Linked DNA regions of Mus musculus: region 2 is reported to be linked to region 1. The links are microRNA targets in miRTarBase. Many come from high-throughput screens and were not tested one by one. Region 1 holds a microRNA gene; the other region holds the end of a gene's coding sequence.
The links. Region 1 holds the annotated microRNA mmu-miR-3470a (UCACUUUGUAGACCAGGCUGG, at 3,177-3,197, opposite strand). A microRNA usually pairs through its seed, bases 2 to 8, with sites in the 3' UTR of a target mRNA and lowers its output. Matches are read on the target gene's strand: a 7mer-m8 pairs with bases 2 to 8, a 7mer-A1 pairs with bases 2 to 7 and ends in A, and an 8mer does both.

Region 2: the mRNA of Prss43 is a reported target of mmu-miR-3470a. Seed matches in the 3' UTR shown: 7mer-m8 at 734-740 and 7mer-A1 at 1,027-1,033.

The regions. Positions count from the first base shown.
Region 1 is chr6:83,087,184-83,092,255 of GRCm38, forward strand. It overlaps Mir3470a (microRNA 3470a), which reads right to left and starts at 3,204; the gene lies at 3,128-3,204. It overlaps Lbx2 (ladybird homeobox 2), which reads left to right. Exons shown (of 2, transcript NM_010692.4): 2 at 500-1,060. The coding sequence ends at 888.
Region 2 is chr9:110,830,430-110,835,497 of GRCm38, forward strand. It overlaps Prss43 (protease, serine 43), which reads left to right. Exons shown (of 6, transcript NM_199471.1): 6 at 353-1,078. The coding sequence ends at 589. It overlaps Prss45 (protease, serine 45), which reads left to right and starts at 4,159. Exons shown (of 6, transcript NM_153172.1): 1 at 4,159-4,310. The coding sequence starts at 4,205.

The DNA.
Region 1 (5,072 bases):
CAGCCCCAGCCCCAGCCCCAGCCCCAGCCCCAGTCACTTCTTGAGCCCTGTAGAAGATCCTTTGCAGCACTATTGGGCACAGGAACCGCCTTCCGCCTGCCTTCCTTCCCTTTGGGCTCCCGGAAAGAGAGCTGGTGTTAAGGACTTTATTTGGCCAGATGGGTCACCCGACCTCAATTTGGCCTCTAACTTACTACCACGCACAGCCTGGAGCTCCAAACGGCGTCAGAGACCTTCTCCAAACGGTCTTGACTCTCGTACCAGATCTCTGGTCAGTCCCACTCACCCTCTACCCGCTGGAGTAATCTCATCTCTCTGTCGTCAGCATTCCCACAGGCCTGCTGCACTTCGAATCCGGGTTCTGACCCGGTGTATAGGGATCGTGATGCTGGCCCACCCCGCTCCCTCTACCTGCTTAAGCCCCGCGACCCTAAGTTTTTCCATCCAGACCTCAGCCTCCTCCAAAGCCGAGACTGACATTTCCGTCTCATCCTGGCAGGCAGAGCCGCCCCGGAGGCGCCGCCGGGGCCTGGCGCTGGTGTCCGGAGACGCCGCAAGTCTCGGACAGCGTTCACTGCACAGCAGGTGCTGGAGCTGGAGCGGCGATTCGTCTTCCAGAAGTACTTGGCACCGTCAGAGCGCGACGGACTTGCTGCGCGACTGGGCCTGGCTAATGCGCAAGTGGTCACTTGGTTCCAGAACCGTCGCGCCAAGCTCAAGCGGGATGTGGAGGAGATGCGCGCGGACGTGGCCTCCCTATGCGGGTTGTCCCCTGGAGTCCTGTGTTACCCAGCACTGCCAGACAGCACTTCAAGCCCTGACCCTGGCCCTTCAGGGCCCGATTCTGAGCCCAACTTATCAGATGAGGAGATACAGGTGGACGATTGAAAGTGAAGCTGCTGCCCAGCCCTGGATTTTAGGGCCCTGGACCCCCTGCTAGAGGCCTTGTCTGGGTTCCCGGGTGGAGGGTAAACACCCATTTAGCTCTGTTCTGTCTCTTACTCCACACTCCTACTTTTCTTACTCGTTAAAGAATAAAGCCGCCACTCTGCTGCTGCAAGAAGCCTCAATTCGGAAAGCCCGCAACCCAAACCAAGGCAAGCCGCTACTCACTGGGAAATTCCTTGCGGCTCCTTTAAAACTTCTTTTAGCCCAAGTAGCAAGCCTAAAAGGTATGTGTCTGGCTATGGTTATTTTTCAAAAGAGGCTTGAGGTCAGGATTTGTACACAGGCATTGGCCACTCCTCAGAGACCTGGCTTGTCTTTCACCTCTGGAGACACTGGATGGAGAGGAAGTGGGTAGGATTCTAGTGGTGGCTTCCGGCCACTACCCCCTACTGGCTACCTTTGTTCCCAAGGCTTGCAGCCTTGGAGACCTCAGTACTAACCTTTAGGTTGGCCCCTATATGATAATGTGAGCCTTCTACTCTTAATTAAACTTTTACTAGGTTTCCTGCATTAAGAAAGCCATAGTAAGCTTAGTGTAGGTGCACACCTGTGATCCCAGCACTTAGAAGGTGGGGTGGGGGGCAGGAGAATCAAGAGTTCTAAGTCAGCCTATATCACAGCGCACTCGCGCTTACGCGCGCCCCCCACCCCCACACACCACACTAAACAAACAAACAAAACCTCTATGATGAGACACTGTGACACCCCAGAGTCTGGAAAGAGAGCACTATCCACTTCTACCTCTGCCCAGGTATGGGAACCTGGGGTGAGACTGAAGAGAGGAGGTCAAAGTAGCTGTGACTGTCACAAGAGCATCCTAACCTGGCCCCACTGATGACATCTCGGACCTTCAGCTTTGACCTCCCTTTTTGCTGGCCATTAATCACTATCCTCCTGCAAAGGCACTGACTGGGGAGGGACAGGGAGCACTGAGGGGCCAGAGGCCCACCCTGTCAGTTTTTAAGAGACCACCATGCAGCTAGAACCTCGGACAGCGAGTGGAGGGCCAAGGAGAGGAAACTCAGGGGAGAATAAGTGAGACTGAAAGGCGGGCGTGATTCTGGTGTCTTCACACAAGATCTGAGTGCTTTGTGTGAATTGATCAGTGGGACAGACCAACTGAATGGACTTTTAGTCTGGTGTCAAGACACTGCCCTTGTAGGTGGGAAAACACGGCTTCACCTTTTCTCACACACGCTTTTGTTTGCTTGCTTTGTTGCTTTTTTTTTTTTTTTGGAGTCAGGGTTTCTCTGTGTAACTTTGGCTGTCACACAACTCACTTTGTAGACCAGGGTGACTGGGAACTCAGAGATCTTCCTACCTCTACCTCCTGATAGGACTAAAGGTGTGGGCCAACATGCCCAGCACACTTTTATTCTTAGATTGGTTTATTTTCATTTTATGTATATGAGTGTTTTGAATATATATATATATATATATACATATACATATATATATATATATATAGAGAGAGAGAGAGAGAGAGAGAGAGTGCTTGGTTGCTTGGTACCTACATTTCCAGAAGAGGGTGTTGGATCACTTGGAACTGGTTTTTTGAGACAGGGTTTCTCTGTATAGTCCTGGCTGTCCTGGAACTCACTCTGTAGACCAGGCCGGTCTTTAACTCAGAAATCCGCCTGCCTCTGCCTCCCATGTACTGGGATTAAAGGCGTGTGCCACCACCGCCCGGCTGAGACAGCATCTTTTACTGAACCTATAGGTCACTGCTTCAATGGGCTGGCTGACCAGTGAGTCCCAGGATTCCAAATTTCTGCCTCTCCAGCAATAGGATGGCACTGCATTGAGCCAGGCTTCATATGCAGGTCCTTAGATGACTAACTGACTCCCTATCTCCTTAGCTGGTATTTTGATTTCATGGACAGCAGTGCCATTTCATAACGTAAAAAGGTTGTCCATGGAGCTGGAGATTTAGCTAAATGGACAGGGTTTAGTCCCCAGAACAGGGTAAGAAAACAAGCTGGACATAGCCGAAGGCTAAAATACCCCACAGTGAAAGGAGGCACTCTTGAGAGACCAGGAGGAGTTCTAGCAGGGCCCCTGAAGCACGCAGCTTGACCTTCCAACCACCACAAACCAAGAATGCTGGATGAACAGTTCTTAAGGAGTTACTAATGGAAGAATAATCCCTGAGCTACTGGGTGTGGTTACCATGCCTTTAATCCCAGCACTCAGGAGGCAGAGGCAGGCTGATCTCTGTGAATTTAAGGCCAGCCTGGTCTACAAAGTGAGTCCAGGACAGCCAGGGCTCTATTACACAAAGAAACCCTGTCTCAATAAAACCATAAACAAATAAATGCCCTCAAACTAAACTGCCACCTCTCCCCAGCCCATGCCCCCAACAGCTTCAGGACAAATCATTTTAGCTGAGGCAACGGAGTCTTGTTAGCTGGTACTGAGCCATCAACATCAACAGTGTTCCTTACTTTCTTGTCCAGCTGGTACCACCTCCCCTTACACTCCAGCCTTGGATAACAAACCAGCAACCAGAAGGAAGGTGTGATGGTGTGAGCCTGTCATCTGATTAATTAGGAATCTAAGAAAAATTATGAGTTCAAGGCCAGGCTGAACTATATATAACACATGCTGGATAAGGCTCAAGTTGTACCCTTTAGCTTGATGGATGCTCACCCTCCCTCATCCCAGCCCCTTCCCTGTCTGTTCTAGATACAACCCTCAGTTCTATATTACTCTGTTCCCAGCAACGGAGGAGAGGGGAGGGAGGCGGGGGAGAGAGCTAATTGTGACGTCCATCTCTGAGAGAGATGGTAGCCAGGGTATCAGCAGTGCAAGTGTGACCCTGTCTCAAAATACAAACTAAAACCAAGCCAAATAAATGGGCCTTGGCATGTAGCCCTGTTGGCAGAGAGCTTGGGTAAGTCAGACGTGGTGGTAGAGGCTTGACACTCAGGACTTACCATGTAGAAGCAGGAAAATCATAGTTTCTAGGTCTTCTTTGATTACATAGTGAGTTTAAACTATTCCAGGCTAAAGGAGACTTTGTCTCAAAACAAATAAACACACTAAGGTGGGCTCTGGATGGATGTCCACTCTGGTGACCCTAGAAAAAATGTGCAGTGTAGACCAGGAAGACAGTTCTGTGGGTAAGAGCAGCCTGTGTGAAAGCAACAGGATCTGAGTTCAAATCCCCAGCACTCATGTTAAGTTGAGTACGGCTGCACGCATCTGAAGCCCCAACTTCATGGGCTGAGGTAAGCAGATCCTGGAAGCTCACCGCTGAGCCACCCTAGCCAAGATGGCAAGATCTAGGGTCAATGTGAGACCCTGTCTCAAAAATAATAATAATAATAATAATAATAATAATAATAATAATAATAATAACATGATGAACTGGGCAGGGTGGTGCACACCTTTAATCCCAGCTCTTGGGAGGCAGAGGCAGACGGATCTTTTTGAGTGTGAGACCAATCTGATCTACATAGAGAGTTCCAGGCTAACCAGGGTACATAATAAGATCTTAGAAGGAGGAGGAAGAGGATGAGAAAGAAGAGAAAATGGGGGGAAAGGGAAGGGAGGGAGGGGGAAAGGGAGGAAGGAAGGGAAAGAAAAGAAAAGATGAGAAAAGGAAAGGAAAAGGAAAAGGAAAAGAAAAGAGGAAAGAAAGGAAAGGCAAGGCAAGGCAAGGCAGTGCGCTGGGCAGGCCTTTGAGCACAGCTCTTGGGGGCCAGAGATAAGTGGATCTCTGTTTGAGGCCAATCTGGTTTACACATCAAATTCCTTATAACCTTAAAAAAGTGTGAAGCATTGAAGAAAGAGGTATGTACTCTTTTGGCTCCCATAAGTGTGTATATGAGTGCAAACACATCCTTCTCACATGTGTATTACACACACACACACACACACACACACACACACACACACACACACAAGTGCTCGTACCTGCACACATGCACAGGGATTACCTGAAGTCTTACTGAACACAAATTGTTGGGAACTCAGTGTTCTTTAGCTGATTAAAATTTCTGCCCTGATGCCCAAGTGTTTGCATCCATCAGTTTCCGGGTGATGTTGATGATATGGTCTCCACACTTGGAGATCCACAGTCCCAGGAATTCTGGACTTCATTAATTAAAAAGCAATGCGCT
Region 2 (5,068 bases), not on the chromosome of region 1:
CAGGGCTACCACTGTGGCTGGGTTATGAGTTATGACAGGCTTAGGCGTTTCTCAGACAGGTTTGGTACCTGTAGATTAGGGACTCTCAAGGTATATTTCACTATACAACTGCTATTCTGGGCTCCATTGGATTCGCCACTTGTGCCTGTGTGCCTAATCATCACCGAGCACGTATCGTTGCCTAGAGAATGTTGATGTTTTCATAGGAGATTTTCATCTGTTAGATCTCAGTCATTAAAAGAAGCTAGGCCTGGGAGAGGCTCTGGGTGCCCAAGAAAGTGTCCCAGCACCTTGCAATGCAGTCTGCTCTCTCTTCCATCCCAGCCATTGGTTTCTTCCTCTTGTTTTCCAGGGAGATTCTGGGAACCCCCTTGTCTGCGAATCTGACAACACGTGGACCCAGGTGGGGATCATGAGCTGGGGCATCAACTGCAATGGAGTCCCTGTCCTCTCAGTTTACACAGACATCGCTGAGTACAATGAGTGGGTCAGCTATGTCTTAAGTCAGGCTTCCCGTATGGATCCCATGGGAGTCTTGGTCCTATACCTGTCTCTGGTGTTTCCCTTGGCCCTCCTGGTAGCTCTGTGACCTCCTTAGGCCCTGTCTTCCTGAGAGTTTTGAGTCTCCCACTGTGCCTTTTCTCCATTTTCCCTTTCTGTCTTTCTGCCCTTTCTTCAAATTCCAGTTAGCAGCTATTGCCACAGTAGACTGTGGCAGGGAGATTGGGGGCTGCAAAGTGCTCTGACTGGTGTTCTGGTTACTTGCCTCATGATACACCCACACTTGGTGGACTAACCTGGACTAGAGGGCCAGCTTGCCTGCTAGGTGGAGAACCATGACTCCATGATCTTGGGGACATCTGCCAAGAAGAGATAATATCACCTGGCTCTGTTTACATCACACAGCTTAGTGACCACTGAAAGAGAGGGAGAACAACCGGGTGTGGTGGCACACACCTGTAATCCCAGCTCTCGGGAGGCAGAGGCAGGCGGATTTCTGAGTTTGAGGCCAGTCTAAAAATCTAAAAAGTGAGCTCCAGGACAGCCAGGGCTACACAGAGAAACCCTATCTCAAAAAAGAAAAAAAAAAAAAAAAAAGAAAAGAAAAAGAGAGAAAAGAGAGAGAGATGGAGAACGAGAGGGTTGGAGGAAGGGAACACTGGCAACTCCCTACAGAGGTATGAGGTTGGCACTTAAGTATTTGGGAGCTGGCAGAAATTATCTTGTACCCACTTGGGAATCTGCCAGGGAATGCATAGCCTCTGCCTCATAGGCTTCACAAGAAGGCAGTCCTGCCTGGCCCCCTTCCTCAGTACCTCAGTGGTCACATCCAGGGTCATCCCAAGTTGCGTTGAGGTTCTGGAGAGGGGAGATCTCAAACGTAAACTGAATAAATGTTTGGAGAACGTCCTGTGTGTTGTGAAGCTCTGCTCACCTGGGGTGTTTGGCTTAGAGAACTGGACCCCATTTACCTAGGGAAGTACTCGCAGTTCCTCTTAGAGACAGAAGAGCTGAGTCCTGCTCCCTGTGTGCCTGGGCAGGAACTTTTGCTGGGCTTCACTACTTTTACAGCCAGCCAGGAGCAGCTCAGGGGAGGCAGGAACTGGGGTGGGGGTGGGGGCGGGAGGGCCCGCAGGGATGAAACTGATTCATGAGAAAAAGTCTTTCTTCTGGTTATTAATGTGACTTTATTTTCAAAGGCCGTGTTCCCAAAGTCAGGAGGATTTTAAGAAAGATTCACTACACTGTATGCAGCTCTTCTACCTCACACTGGGTTTTGGTATCCCTGACTGAATACTGATTTGCTCACAGGTCTCCTCCAATCTCCCTCTCCCACTTTCGTCTTTCTGGGGTCTCTGTTTCATCCTCTGTCCTCTATGGCTTTTGTGGGCATTCAGTTCCAACCGTTGCCCAAGGAAGGATGAACCCATCCTCCACCCCCAGTTTTGTTTGTTTGTTTGTTTGTTTTTTGAGATGGGATATCATTATGGGGTCCCTGGCTGTCCTGGAATTAGTGCTGGGATTAAAGGTGTGTGCCTCCACACCCTGCTGTCAGACGCATCTCTGTCATGAACACATACATCACCAAAGATGTTTTTAAAAAAATTATCACTGGACATTGACCTGCTGAGGTAGTGTTTGCCTGTATCTCCATCATCTGAAAGATGGAGGCGAGGACAATCAGTTGTTCCTTTGCTACAGATGGAGTTTGAGGCTAACCTGGGATACAGGAAGTGCTGTGTCAAAACAACAACAAAAACCCAAACCACCTCCACTCTCCAGAAACCGCCAGCTCTTCGTAGACTAACAATTTTAATTTTGCTCACTGTAGCGCGTTATTCTATGTGGACAGGTAGCTCTCCCCCATTTTATAGTCCCACTCTTAGCCTCATGGTCCACCCTTCACCTGTGTGAGCATACGCTGAGAGTTTGTTAAAATCCACATTGCTGCCAGGAGTGATGGGACACATTTGTAATCCTAGCACTTGGGAGGCAGGGGTGGGAGGATTAGCACAAGTTCAAAGCCAGCCAAGACTACACAGAAATGGACCTTGTCTTACGGTTTTATTGCTGTGAAGAGACACTATGACCAAGGCAACTCTTACAAAGGAAAACATTTAATTGGGGCTGGCTTACAGCGTCAGAGGTTTAGTCTGTTACCACCAAGGCGGGAAGCATGGCAGTGGGCAGGCAGGCATGGTGCTATAGGAACGGTGAGTTCTACATCTTGATCCACAGGCAGCTGAAAGAGACTCTAGTTGGCAGGCAGCCAGGAGGATGCTCTGATTCCACCCTGGGCGGAGCTTGAGCACAGGAGACCTCAAAGCCCGCCCACACAGTGATGCATTTCCTCCAACAAGGCCACACCTCCTAAGTGCCACTCTCCATGGTCAAACATTGAAACACCTGAATCTATGGGGGTGAGGGGGGAGGCAAATCTATTCAAACCACCATAGACCCTGTCATAAAAAATTAAACAAACAAACAAACAAACAAACAAATCCATATCATTGGTCTCACTAAGGGAGTTTTCAACTTCAACTCTGGAAGTCTTGGCCAGGGCCTGAGGATGAAGATTTCTAGCAAGTTCCCAGGCGTTGCTGGTCCAGCTGTATGGAGGAGGCCTAACGTTGGGAACCACACAGCGGCAGAAGGCAACCTTCTCTTGCTTGCCTCGATATGCGATTGGCACCGTTTACTTATTCAGATTCATTTAAACGCCAGGCTGGGGGCCTGGAGAGTTGGCTCAGGGATTAAGATCTTCTACAGGGCCCACATTTGATTCACACAAACCCACATGGTGGCTTCTAACTCCAACTCTATTGGATCTGATGCCGCCTTCTGGCTTCTGTGGGCATCAGGCACATACTGTGGTGCACAGACAGTCATACAGATAAAATACTCATACACATAAAAATAAAATGTAAACGAACAGGCTGGGTGATGGGGTCCCCAGAGCTCTGTTGGACACCTGGAATAAACAAAGGAAACAGAGGAATTTTGATGATCGCTTCCCAGTCTCTGCTAGGCTCAGTAAATCCACAAAGATCATCCTTTTGTGACAAGCTCTCTTTATGCCCAAAGCCAGGCAACAAAACAAAACAAAAAGAAACAAACAAAACCAACAACAACAACAAAAACTAGCCAGTATTTGTCAGTGGTAACATCCTGTCATATTGCTGGTCCTTGGAAGAGGACAGCTGCCTTCTTTATTCAGCACCCTGCTCCTATCTTGATTTAGTCTTAGATCCAGTTCAGCTATTACGTTCTCAAAACCGTTTTTCCTAACCATATTGTTATTTGCTTTCTTGGGCTTTCCCGGTCCTTGTTAATAGTGACCGTGAAACTCCTTGTGCAACAGGCTGAGAACAAGGTATACCCTGAGGCTGGATGGGCATCAAGATGCCAATCCCAGCCCAGGGATCTTTGACCAGTTAGGCTCCAGATGCACCGCCAGGATCTTAGAGCACTAGGGGTGCTGTCATAGATCTGGAATCTAAGACCCAGTCCCAGTCAAGGGATCTGAAGTCATATTAAGGACGAGAGTGGGTCCAGATGCCAGAACTCAAAGGACCTGAAGAGGCACGGTCAGGCTCTTGGCGCCAGGTCAGTCATGTGTCGAAGACGCCATCGCGTACTGGGATGTGGGCACGTGACAGCACGCCGCAGCTATCTCTGCTGCCCTTAGGGACAATATTCATGTATGGCTACGTCATTGCGCGGCCTGGACGCTGGGCCTGGATCCTTGAGGCGCTGGATCCTAATCTGCTTTGCGGCGCTACTGTTGCTGCCTCCGCGGCCAAACTTAGGTCAGGCAGGCACCTCCTTCTCCATTGTCCTTTCTTTCTGTGTCCTCTCCCCTCCAGTCTTGCTCAGGTTGGCTATTCCTTTCCTTTCCGCCACCTGAAACTTCTGTGTGCCATCCCCACCTCGCTGTCGCCTCTCTTCTGCCACTCCTAGGTTCCTCAGGCCACTGCTGTGTCGTGCTGTAGCCTCCTGGAGACAACAGGCTCGGAGATGCTCGGAGCATCCCTGGCCTCCCTTCACGCACAGGCGCCTCCCGCTTTCCGTGTGTCCATCCTCTCAAAAGGATGATGTTCTAAACGTTGGGTTTTTTTTTCCCCCATCGCTAGCAGAGTCCAAGCCCTTGAGTGCTGTCTTCGCAGACTCCTCTGCCCCACAGCCCCCAGACATCCCTCCAAATCTGACTGCCAAAGGGAGAGTGTTTCCTGAGTGGGGTGGGGCTGGAGCAGGGTCCGACCCATACTGAGAGGCGGGGCTTACATCGGTCCTGCTCCACCACCATCCCAATATGTGCCCTCCCTCTCAGGGCCAGCCTTCCCCAAGAGTCATTAGCACTTTATTTATTTCCCATGTAATCCTCAGCCCATTCCTGCTGTGTTCTTCCCATTACTGTTCCTGGTTTTGTTTGTTTGTTTTACATCTCTATCCTTTTTTTTTTTTTTTTTTTTTTTTTAATTTCCTGTGGCTTCTCCCTCAGCCTCTCCCCCATTTTTCTTCTTTCATTCGTGGGGGTTGGGGTTAAGGTCTCATGAGCCCTAGGGTA